2 linked regions of the Arabidopsis thaliana genome follow. The protein of the gene in region 2 interacts with the protein of the main gene of each other region in a pairwise test. Each region holds a gene or a part of one and is shown on either strand. Other genes may lie near its edges.

Region 1 (5,639 bases), on a different chromosome or scaffold from region 2:
ACCCCAAGGAAAAATCAGAGATTGCTCACCATGATTAACAAACAAAAACTTGTTCTGACATTTTTTTTGTTGTTGTGATTTTTGATTTTTTGAACTTGTTCGACTTTGTTTGGTATATATAACTGATTGAAAGGCGTTGTAACAAATAAACACAGCAAAGATGCTGAATCTGTCTGCCAGTTTGATCAAACAAGATATGTGATTTCTACAGAGCCGTTTATAATGCTCAATTTTGTGTTCGTTTATATGATTTTAAACTGACATGTGAAGAAAAACAATCTATGTCGGTTTGAAGAACAAAATAATGGTTTGTGTGTATTACCAGTCATTTAATATGCTTAGTTTAGTTTTGCTATGCATTTACTATTCAACTTGTTAAGCAACGACTCTCTACGAAACGATTGAGACGATAATTGTTCAAACGGAAGAGCATGATGATATATTAGACACTCCAAACAAAAACCACGAAATCCAACATTTTAGTTTTTTGAGAAGAAAAAAACAGACTGCGATAACCGGGAATAGGTACGCATGATGAGATCGGTTTGATTTAGTATTTTAACAGAACATTTGGTGAGACAACTTTTAAGAAGAGGGAGAAAGAGAACCGGTTACATCATTTGGTGACTAACAGAGAGAGACAGAGCTTGCAATATTTTCCATCATTCCTCCTCTGCAGCACTAGCTGCGTTAAGATCCACACTTAGATCCAGTTCCTGCAACACAAAACAATGATCACTCCCCAATTACAGAATATGTCGCCGTCAATTAATAAAAACCGATATATTTGTGATTCTAGAACATTACCTTTCCGGTGATCAATTTATACATGTTCAACACATCAACAACAGTTGTGTCAAAGTGTGTTGTAGCATCATAACTCTGTTCAGGACATGAACAAAAAAGGTTATTAGAAACCAGCCAACTTTAAGATGCTCACTAAAAAAGGGGTAGAGAAACTAACCGTTGATATGAAGCAGTTGTCCAAAGTGGGTTCGTTGACAGGCTCATATCTATCATAGATGTCGAAGAACAGCTCATCAACAGGACCAAGAAGGTCGATTCCAGGCTGGAGCTCGGTTTGAGGGTTATCAGTTTCAGCGTCTGTTGACACAAATGCTATGAACTTTCCCTTGGGAGCAACGTTGTGTGAATATGAACAACAGAAGACATACCTGTCAGTTACAATAAAGATGTAATCATGAGCCGAGAAACAAATATATCAATCGACTCAATGTTACACACTGCCAAGTTTTATAGAGTGTATGTGTTGTAATCAAGAAATAATATAGTTGAGAAGAGTGTGTAGCAAGGAAGGTATCTCAGCAAGCTCAAGAGAATAATTCAGACAAAGATTAGCTAACACATTATTCAAACACATTTACATAAGTGAAACCAAAGGATGAATAAGAGAACTCACATGTCTGATTTGCGGCCCAATTGTTTTTGGGGTAGAATGACTTGCACCGACTGAGAATCATTGGTGTTTGGAATAGGGTGGCTCATAATGGCAATCGCCCGAGCAACCCTGCCAATCTTCCTGACCTGTTTGAATTGGATTATAAAACATTTTAAAATAATGTTAACATACAGGCTCACATTGTTAAAATTGCCTAAAAGGCTCACATTCATAACAACAGACCATAAAACAGAGATGAGAGATATATGCATGCAACAAAGCTAATGTTACTGTAGGATATCCGGTCACAGCCATTACCTTGTTGGTTAGGTAAGAAGGATCGCAGACAACTTTCTTGCATTTGGCAGTCTCTCCCTCAGATGTAACACCAGAAACCTTACCCTCCTCGTCAAACTCTACCTGTTATAAAAGCAATATTAGGTTATCAGATCTAGCATCCATATAGTTAACGACAGAAAAAGTTGCAGAAACGACCGAAACAAAAAAGCCACAAAGATAAGGAAGTCAAAGACGCACCTTGCACTCAGGTTTGTTCAACATATACGTCCCACCATAGACAGCACTAAGTCGTGCAAATGCCTGAGCCAAGGAAGATAAGAGAGAATTTAGAAACTATAGTCCAAAACGCCAGAATAGTTGCACCAACCAAATAAAGCAATGTACAAAAGAAGAAAAAAACCTGAGGCAATTCTCCCAACCCATAGAGAGGATAGATATATGGTGAACCTCCTTGAAAACGTGCAAGGGACTCTGCGTAGAGCTGATAAAACATTTAAAGCAACAGAGTCAAACATGAAATACTGAGAGCAAAAAAGAAGACTTCGAAAACAAGGGGATCCACACTTTAAAGTCCCATGAGAGCAATTCACCTTCATTCTCATTACAGTATCATAGGCAGGTTGATGGAGATGATTGTCATTACAGTGAAGTGCCACTGCATGACCAATAAAGTCAATAGTATCTTCTTTAAGACCGAATTTCCTGCCAAAGTGTTAAATTGATAGTTAGCAGCAGATAGTCTAAAACAAATATTGACAACACCATAATGCAAAAGACAAGAGAACATCAGCTTACGCAATCAAATCCTTAGTTGTAACTCTCCTCAAATCCATTCCATCATGTGTTTTTGGGTCCTTCTCGTCGTATTCTTGAACATAGCTGAAAAACTTTCCAGCTCGACGTTTCTCAAAAATACCCATAAGAGGAGATTTGAGGGCCTCCATGGGAGTTGCTGGCACTTTTTGGACCTGTAGCATATAAACAGTTAATATAACTAGAAAAAAATTACTTAAGCTGCAAAGCTAGAATGATCAGTGAAAAGCTTTTGACCAAGATCAAACATGGGAGAAAAAAAGATGCACAAACAGACTTGAAATCTATGGAAAAAAAAGAGAATGAGGCACAAGATAAAAATGAAAATGAGTAATCAATGTACCTTGCCTTGGACAAAAACATAGCTTCCATCAACAGCTTTAAAAGACAAGTACTTGGTCACATCCGTATGAATAAGGACACGAACAAGCTTTCCGTTAGCCATCATAAACTGGTGCGCCACATTGACAGAGAACAGTTAGTAATTCATATTGGTAACAAGGAAGCTAGATAAGCTGGAAAGTAGCTAATATTGATAACCTTTGGCATCATGTCAACATTGTAGTCTCTGCTAGAACCTAAATGAGCAGGAGCCTTCTCTTCTCCCCTGAACTTCTTCCACAGCTGTTTAAAACAAAGCAACATTCAATAACTCTCGCTGATTATAACTTACCACAAAAAGTCTTCATATATATTTAACAAAAATATTGACCTGATTGAGATTAAGAGAAGTTGACTCTCCACCGTAGTAGTCATTCCTGTCCATGTGAAGTACCTAATTGGAATATAGATGAAATTAGTAGACCATTAGATTACTTATAAAAAGAAGTAAACTTGGCGACAAAGTCAGCTAATCAATCACATAGAAGATATAGGAGTGGAGATGATGAAAATTTAGTCTTTTTACGCAATCTCAATAACTAACTAAATGCATTAAATTCAGATCATTGTCAAAATCGCGAAGCCAATTGATTCTCATGTTGAAGCTCACAAAGCAACCAGCTTTAAATCACACAATCGGAGATAATAATCTCAACTAGATCCGTTGTTCATCATGTAAGTAACGAATTAAGAGTATTGAAAATCTCCAGATCAAGCATGGATTCAAAAAGAGAGAGAGAGACCTTAAGACCATCGACGGAGAGAAGACCACTAAGGATGCACTCCTTGAGACCAGTACCCAGAACTATGACTTCGTACTCTTCATCCATAGTTGCTGATCCTCCAAAGAGAAGAAAGAAATGGACTTTTGATATGCGACCGTCGAGAGACTCGAGAGAGAGAGAGAGAGAATCGGCGGTGATTGCGTCTATAGAGAAAATCAGACAAGTCCAAAGATGCTTTCTTTCTTATATGCTTTTTCTCTTTTTTTTTTCTTATTTGGCTATTGAAATTTGGATAAATCTAAATATTATTACCAAGTAAAACTTAAAAGTAATTTTGTGTGTGTAATAAATAGATTTACAATAATGTTTTTGCTGTCTGAAGCAATCTAATAATTCAATTAGCATTTTCTAAAACAATTCCGTTTTTTTTTAGGGTAATAAATAAATAACCAGTCGATTAAACCAAAAAGACAAATATGAAAATAGAGAAAATGTCATCTTCTGTTCTGTTCTGTGAGTGCAAAGCAAATTTATTTAATTAATTTTGTCAATTATTATTTTTACAATAAAAAAATAAAAAAAAATTCTCTCATTGTTCTCTTGACCTCTCAATGAAAATCTCGTCCAGGTTCGCTCATCTTCCCATCTCCTCTACGAATGTTCTTCTTTGGTAATTTGCAAATTCACATCTTTCTTCTTCTTTCCGATGCAATTTTCATGGCCGAATTCACAATTGCTGTGCTCGGCCATGGATTCTGATTGGGATCAGTTTCTGTTTTTATTTTATTTTAAGGTTTGGATGCTTCTGTTGACTACGTTTTGCTAAAATTCAGACCCTTTTCGCTCTCGTGAATCGATTCTACCGCATTTTCTGAACGAAATCTCTAGTCTCTTTTTTCTTTTCTTCCTGGGTTTGATTTCTTGGAGTGGTTGATTGCGCAAGTCTGGATTTTGATTTTGGTACAAGACATTTGCTTGTACAAGGAGGAAGGGATTTGTTGGTATACAGTATTGTTATTGCAAAGGTTTTTCGAATGTCAAAACAAGTTTTTGGATTATTGATTTTGGAAATCTGAGTGGATGGAGAACGATGACATGTATCCTGATGAGCCTGTAGGTTCTGACTTGGAACCTCAAGAGAGTGATGTTGTTTTTGCAAGAGAGTCACCTCTTGTAGGTATCATCACTCAACCGACCAAATGCTCTGGATCTACTGCAAAGATACTGAAATGCAGGGGTCTTGAGCAACAGAAGAAGCTTAATAGACAGGATAGAATCGAATTGGGACGGCTTTTCCAAGGTGCTGTTAGCTCACAGGATTGGCAACTTTCAGAGAGATTTATTCAGCTGGCTGATCCACAAACTTTGAATGATCTGTTGTGTATTAGTTTAGATTCTATTTGGTTCTTGAGCACAGAGCATGAGTTACGGGGAATCACTGAATTGATTGCTAAGATCATATGTCATGGTGCTCAGGACTATACTAGAGCTACACTTAGGACTTCCTTTCTTGCTTCTTGTGTTTCATCTTGCCATAGCCGGACTGTGAGTCTTGCTGATACTGTAACTGTTATGGCTCAAAGGTACACATTTGATACTTTCTCTTATAAGATGTTTCCCCTTTTTCTCAGTATAATTATGGTAAAACACTTTTGGATTATTGGAGAAGTTGGTTTCTGTTATGATACCTTGTTTTTGCTTTATATGATCACTACATTGTGTCTTACATGTTACATTGGTTGGTTACATCTGCAAGTGTTTTAGTGTTGTTAACTTTTCTTAGAAATCGCTTTTTGTTAAATCTATAGTATCTCTTATGTTCTTATTCCTCCTGGTTTATCTTTGGTTAGCTGGGAAGGGTGAGATACCCTTTCTATATAAATCCATTTTTTCCCATCTCGGCGTTTCCAGGTTGCACGAGCGTCTCCAAGAGTGTAACGGTGATGAGGTCCTCAAAGCAGAAGCTGGTGCTAAAGTTCAAAAGTTTACTGAATGGGCACTCAAATGTATAGGTTTTCACT
Region 2 (4,790 bases):
ATCACCAAACACGCGGAACCTATTGAAGAAATTGGCAAGATATTCAACACTTATATGAATGAACCTAAGGTTTTTACATGTTTAATTCAAGAGTAAGAAAAACAAACTCACTGAGTAGTCCAATTCTCAGTCCATAAAGATGGTTTGTTTTCTCTGTTTGGACCGGGGAAAGTATCACCGCAATGTCTTCCATTACAAGCATTGATCTGTTTCCACAGTGTTTTCAAATATTTTAAAACTTTCTTCCTCATTCGGATAAAACACAATCATGTAAAAATGAACTTTACCATAGGATCAGGAGCGTCGTTCTGCTTGCACATAACCCATGGGATCCCGAGTTTCATTGAGTCCACCAAATTAGATGCCCATTTAATGTAGTTTAACCCGTCTTGTTTATATGCACGTTGAACCGCGCTATATTCGTTTTCTATCTGCAATTCATATTCATTCCAAAACTCATCATTTTATAACATTTTTCAAATCATATATAAATATATAGGTTTCTCTTTTCTTTGTTGTCACCTGTCCTAATATAATGGGGCCTCCTTGTGACGCAAACAATCTTTCCTCCTTCATTTTGTCGAGTATCATCCGTACATACCTTTCTGTATGCTCCTGCAATATTTTTATGGTCATATCTTGTAATATATCTAATTGTAACAAAACACACATTGACATATATATAGTAATTCTATGTATAATACCTTGAATTGTTTATTGTCTGTACGGAAGAAAATTCCAGGAACTTCTCTAAGCCAATAAGGAAGTCCTCTGATCATCACAAAGAGATCATATAAAATGTTAAAATGAAGATCTTGAGAACGCCGAAAAAGAAGAAGAAGCAATGCATTATTACCCATGAGTCCATTCAGCTTGGATGAACGGTCCAAGCCTTAAGGTCACATACATTCCATTCTTTTGAATCAACTTTATGAACTTCACCAAATCAGCTCGTCCCGAAAAGTTGAACTGATGAACGCAACACAAAATACATTATGAATCCTAAAGATTCATGCATGCGTGTTTTATATGTTCTATATATAGATCAGTTTTTGGTTATGAATTACCTTTCCTTGTTGAGGCTCATGTACATTCCAGAAAACGTATGTCTGAATCGTGTTCAAACCGCCTTGCTTGGCTCTCTTGATGATACTTGGCCACATCTAAACCAAACCCAAATGACACAATAATCTCAATATACAAAAAAAAAAAAAAAACGTTTTAGAAAAACAGAGATTATGTGATTCAATAAATACTTCCGGAGTGCTTCTCGGGTAATGAATAGAGCCAGAATAAAGAAGCTCTCTTTTGCCATCGATGATCAAAGAGGTTCCATCATATGTCACCTCCTTATTACTCTTCTTCTTCTTCTTGGCGTCCTTCTTGGCCGCGAAGGAGGAAGAAGACGAGAGGAGAACGACAAGAACAGCTGTTAAAAGCCATCGATCAAGAGAATGTTTTCTCATTGAACTCTCTTCTTTTTCTTTTTTGAATTAATTTTTGGTGTCGTACGTAGAACAAGAAGCTAAGTTCTCTTGGAACCTCGTCCTTGTCGGAGGAATAAAAAACAAGGAGAGCTCAAATAACAAGCTTTCAGAAAAGAGGATGATATAAGAGAATGTTTCGCACTCAGGTTTTCAGGTTTCCGGAGAAATTTACGCGTCTGAAATAGAATCCACCGTTGTAACTTTGAAACTCTCTTCATTTTTCCTTTTCGATTTTTTTTTTTTAATTTGTTTTTGCTATTTTTAAATGTTGGTTTCACCCTATTCTTCGCCTATTATGTTGGACATAACATAACAAATTAGTGAAATTACCATTCGTTTTTTTTGGGTCCCCATAACAGATTCTTTAACGGTCAATAAGTGTTTTTAAAATTAACGGTCAATAACTAGCTAGACAGATTCAAAAGGTAAGCCTTTATACCGTGATTGGTTATAAAAATATTAAATATTGACCTTAAGTTCACGTTTTTTTTAGTGTCTCAACATTTATTTCTTAGAGAAGTTGTATGTACATTTTTAATGTTTACTTCAACATACCGGGACAAAAATATTATCATTTAACATGTAACAGAAGAATATGTATCCAAAGGAGGCTGATCAATAAAAATTAACACTCCAATCATATTGCATTGTAAAACCAGCTATATTTTTTATTGATATTTAAACCATAGTTGTATAATCCTAATGACACATCGGAAAAATCCTCTAAACCAGTCAAAATTTAGCTAAATTTTTTATTGATATTTAAAGATCAATCTAAATATGTATAGATTTAGGCATTTAGTATATGGGCTGCATAGTATTAGATGAAAACGAAGTTTAAAAAAAAAAAAAAAAAAAAGTACATAGAAATTATTATTATAATTTTCATCCCATAAATTTTTGTAGGGTCTTATGTTGGGAAACGCACTATCTAAGAAGAAATGCTATTTTATAAAATTTTAGTAAAAAGAAGAAAAAAAAGGAAGAAGAAGACCAAGAAATTGAGGTGCATGTGAGGATGAGTAGTAAAAATTAGGAAGACTCTAGTCTGGGAGAGACTTTCAGCAGCTATTTCTTTGTCTTCTTTCTCTTTAAAGAACCTCACTCTCTCTCTCTTTAGTCAAAAATCCCCAATTCGTGAACAAATTAGGGTTTTTGAAGTTTGAAGAAGGAGAGAAAGATGAGTGCTTCAAGGTTTATCAAGTGTGTCACTGTCGGCGACGGTGCTGTTGGAAAGACTTGTCTTCTCATCTCCTACACTAGCAACACTTTCCCCACGGTTAGCTTTAAAGTTCTCTTCTTTTACTTTGATTTCGTGAAATTTTAGCTTGGTGAAGTTGGTTTTGTTGTTGAAGCTTATGAGTTGGATTTAGTCACAAGTATTTGTTAGGTTTTCTTAAAGTCTTCTTCTTTCTGCTACCTTAGTGAATGTACTGATGTGATCTTTAGGATTTGAGAGACTCAGAGATTCATGTACCGTAGCAATGTTGTTGATCTGTTTAATGATCTTAGAAAGAGTGTTAGGTAACTTTCTGTAAGGAGATTTTGTAGCTGATGTTTTAGTGGAATTTTCTATGTGACAGGATTATGTGCCAACTGTGTTCGATAATTTCAGTGCCAATGTGATTGTTGATGGCAACACTATCAACTTGGGATTGTGGGATACTGCAGGCAAGTTGTTACCTTGGATTTTTTTGTCTTTTGAATTTCCTCCTCTTCCAGAGAGTCATTTGTGTTTTTGACTTGGTGAAACAGGGCAAGAGGACTACAATAGACTAAGACCTTTGAGCTATCGCGGTGCAGATGTCTTCTTACTTGCATTCTCACTTGTCAGCAAAGCTAGCTATGAAAATGTTTCTAAAAAGGTTTGATCTGTGGTCTTCTCCTGAAACTTCTTTCCTGTTTTATTCAGTTTACATTCAGTGATTCTGATAGAATACATTTGGTATCTTGCTTTTGATTCTTAGTGGGTTCCTGAACTGAGACATTATGCTCCTGGTGTTCCCATCATCCTCGTTGGAACAAAGCTTGGTTGGTTTTTTCTTAGCTCAACTCTTAATCGCCTGATTATCGGGGGTTTTCTGTTTTGGGGAACTCTTCTGATATTTTGATGACTGAGTCTCGTACAGATCTTCGAGATGATAAGCAATTCTTTGCCGAGCACCCTGGTGCTGTGCCTATCTCTACCGCTCAGGTACCTTTCTCATTATCTTTCTAAACTGAATCCTAGGTGTTAATATTCTGCATGTTTCATATTTTGATGGTATCAAAACAGGGTGAAGAACTAAAGAAGCTGATTGGGGCGCCTGCTTATATCGAATGCAGTGCAAAAACTCAACAGGTATTAACCTGAGAGTCAATATCTTTATCTAATCTTTACCTGTCTAAAACCGCCAATTGAATCTGCTGATGATTCCTATATCTGTTATCTGTTCAACAGAATGTGAAAGCAGTGTTTGATGCGGCTATCAAGGTCGTTCTCCAGCCACCAAAAAACAAGAAGAAGAAGAAGAGAAAATCTCAGAAAGGTTGTTCTATACTCTGATTCAACAAGAAGAAAGGAATCAACAGGAGAATTAGAGCTATAAGTATTTGTTTTCTCCTTTTTCATAACTTGTTTACCCAAGGAATCAAAAATCTGTTGTTTGTAGTCTGAAAATGACAAAAGTTGAAGAACTAGTAACAAGTATTTGTATTCTTGTTTGCATTTTGATCTGTAAATATACCACGAATCCTTGATTTCTCTGTTTCCTAGATTCACACCAATTGTCTTAAGGATTATGTTCCAAACCTAAAGACAATGAGAGCTTACACGCGCGAACCAATGAGAATGAGAGAGCACTTGTCTTTCTTGGACAATAGTATCTAAACCAGCTTATTTGAAACCTTCTGAATGAGCCAGAGTGTCTTCCATACATATCAATTCCACATAGACCTAACCTGATCTTTAGACTATAATCTTCAATGATTTCAGAACCTCAAAACTTTTGATTTTACATTTTTAATCAAATTTATTTGATATTCATTTTGCTTATTGACTAGACGTTTTCCCCTTGGAGATAATAGAATGATTGATTTTAACTCTCACCGGAAAAGACAAAAAAAAGGAAAAATAAATCATTGATTAAATAAAATTTATGGTGAATAAGCTTGGCTTCTCTTTACCAAACATATATGTTTGTTGATCAATCTCTTTCTTTGCGTTATCTGCCCCTTGATTTAGACCCACGTATTATTCGATTCCTAAACTAATTGAAATGATTAGATATGTGTCATGACGTTTAGTGAACTAATATTCACCTA

Evidence for each region. The genes of interacting proteins can lie anywhere in the genome.
Region 1: the proteins of RAC3 (region 2) and GDI1 come close enough for resonance energy transfer, tested with the Arabidopsis thaliana proteins (one study listed by BioGRID).

What each region holds. Positions count from the first base shown.
Region 1 is NC_003071.7:18,239,888-18,245,526, reverse strand, and holds GDI1 (guanosine nucleotide diphosphate dissociation inhibitor 1), read right to left. Parts: upstream 4,059-5,639; 5' UTR 3,724-4,058; coding exon 3,637-3,723; exon of another isoform or gene 3,288-3,636; coding exon 3,225-3,287; intron 3,137-3,224; coding exon 3,053-3,136; intron 2,964-3,052; coding exon 2,856-2,963; intron 2,668-2,855; coding exon 2,495-2,667; intron 2,402-2,494; coding exon 2,290-2,401; intron 2,181-2,289; coding exon 2,100-2,180; intron 2,000-2,099; coding exon 1,937-1,999; intron 1,820-1,936; coding exon 1,718-1,819; intron 1,546-1,717; coding exon 1,421-1,545; intron 1,176-1,420; coding exon 965-1,175; intron 883-964; coding exon 808-882; coding exon of another isoform or gene 796-807; exon of another isoform or gene 717-795; coding exon 663-716; 3' UTR 519-662; downstream 1-518. Other genes in the region: MLO15 (Seven transmembrane MLO family protein), read left to right, coding at 1-38; AT2G44090 (Ankyrin repeat family protein), read left to right, coding at 4,699-5,201, 5,530-5,639. UniProt on the Arabidopsis thaliana protein: Regulates the GDP/GTP exchange reaction of most RAB proteins by inhibiting the dissociation of GDP from them, and the subsequent binding of GTP.
Region 2 is NC_003075.7:16,670,509-16,675,298, forward strand, and holds RAC3 (RAC-like 3), read left to right. Parts: upstream 1-1,683; 5' UTR 1,684-1,735; exon of another isoform or gene 1,736-1,912; intron 1,913-2,275; exon of another isoform or gene 2,276-2,323; 5' UTR 2,324-2,346; intron 2,347-2,410; exon of another isoform or gene 2,411-2,457; 5' UTR 2,458-2,667; coding exon 2,668-2,766; intron 2,767-3,070; coding exon 3,071-3,158; intron 3,159-3,242; coding exon 3,243-3,352; intron 3,353-3,454; coding exon 3,455-3,518; coding exon of another isoform or gene 3,519-3,598; exon of another isoform or gene 3,599-3,616; coding exon 3,617-3,681; intron 3,682-3,762; coding exon 3,763-3,828; intron 3,829-3,927; coding exon 3,928-4,032; 3' UTR 4,033-4,281; downstream 4,282-4,790. Other genes in the region: BGAL11 (beta-galactosidase 11), read right to left, coding at 1-19, 112-206, 288-431, 523-615, 705-771, 857-969, 1,068-1,163, 1,257-1,466. UniProt on the Arabidopsis thaliana protein: Inactive GDP-bound Rho GTPases reside in the cytosol, are found in a complex with Rho GDP-dissociation inhibitors (Rho GDIs), and are released from the GDI protein in order to translocate to membranes upon activation.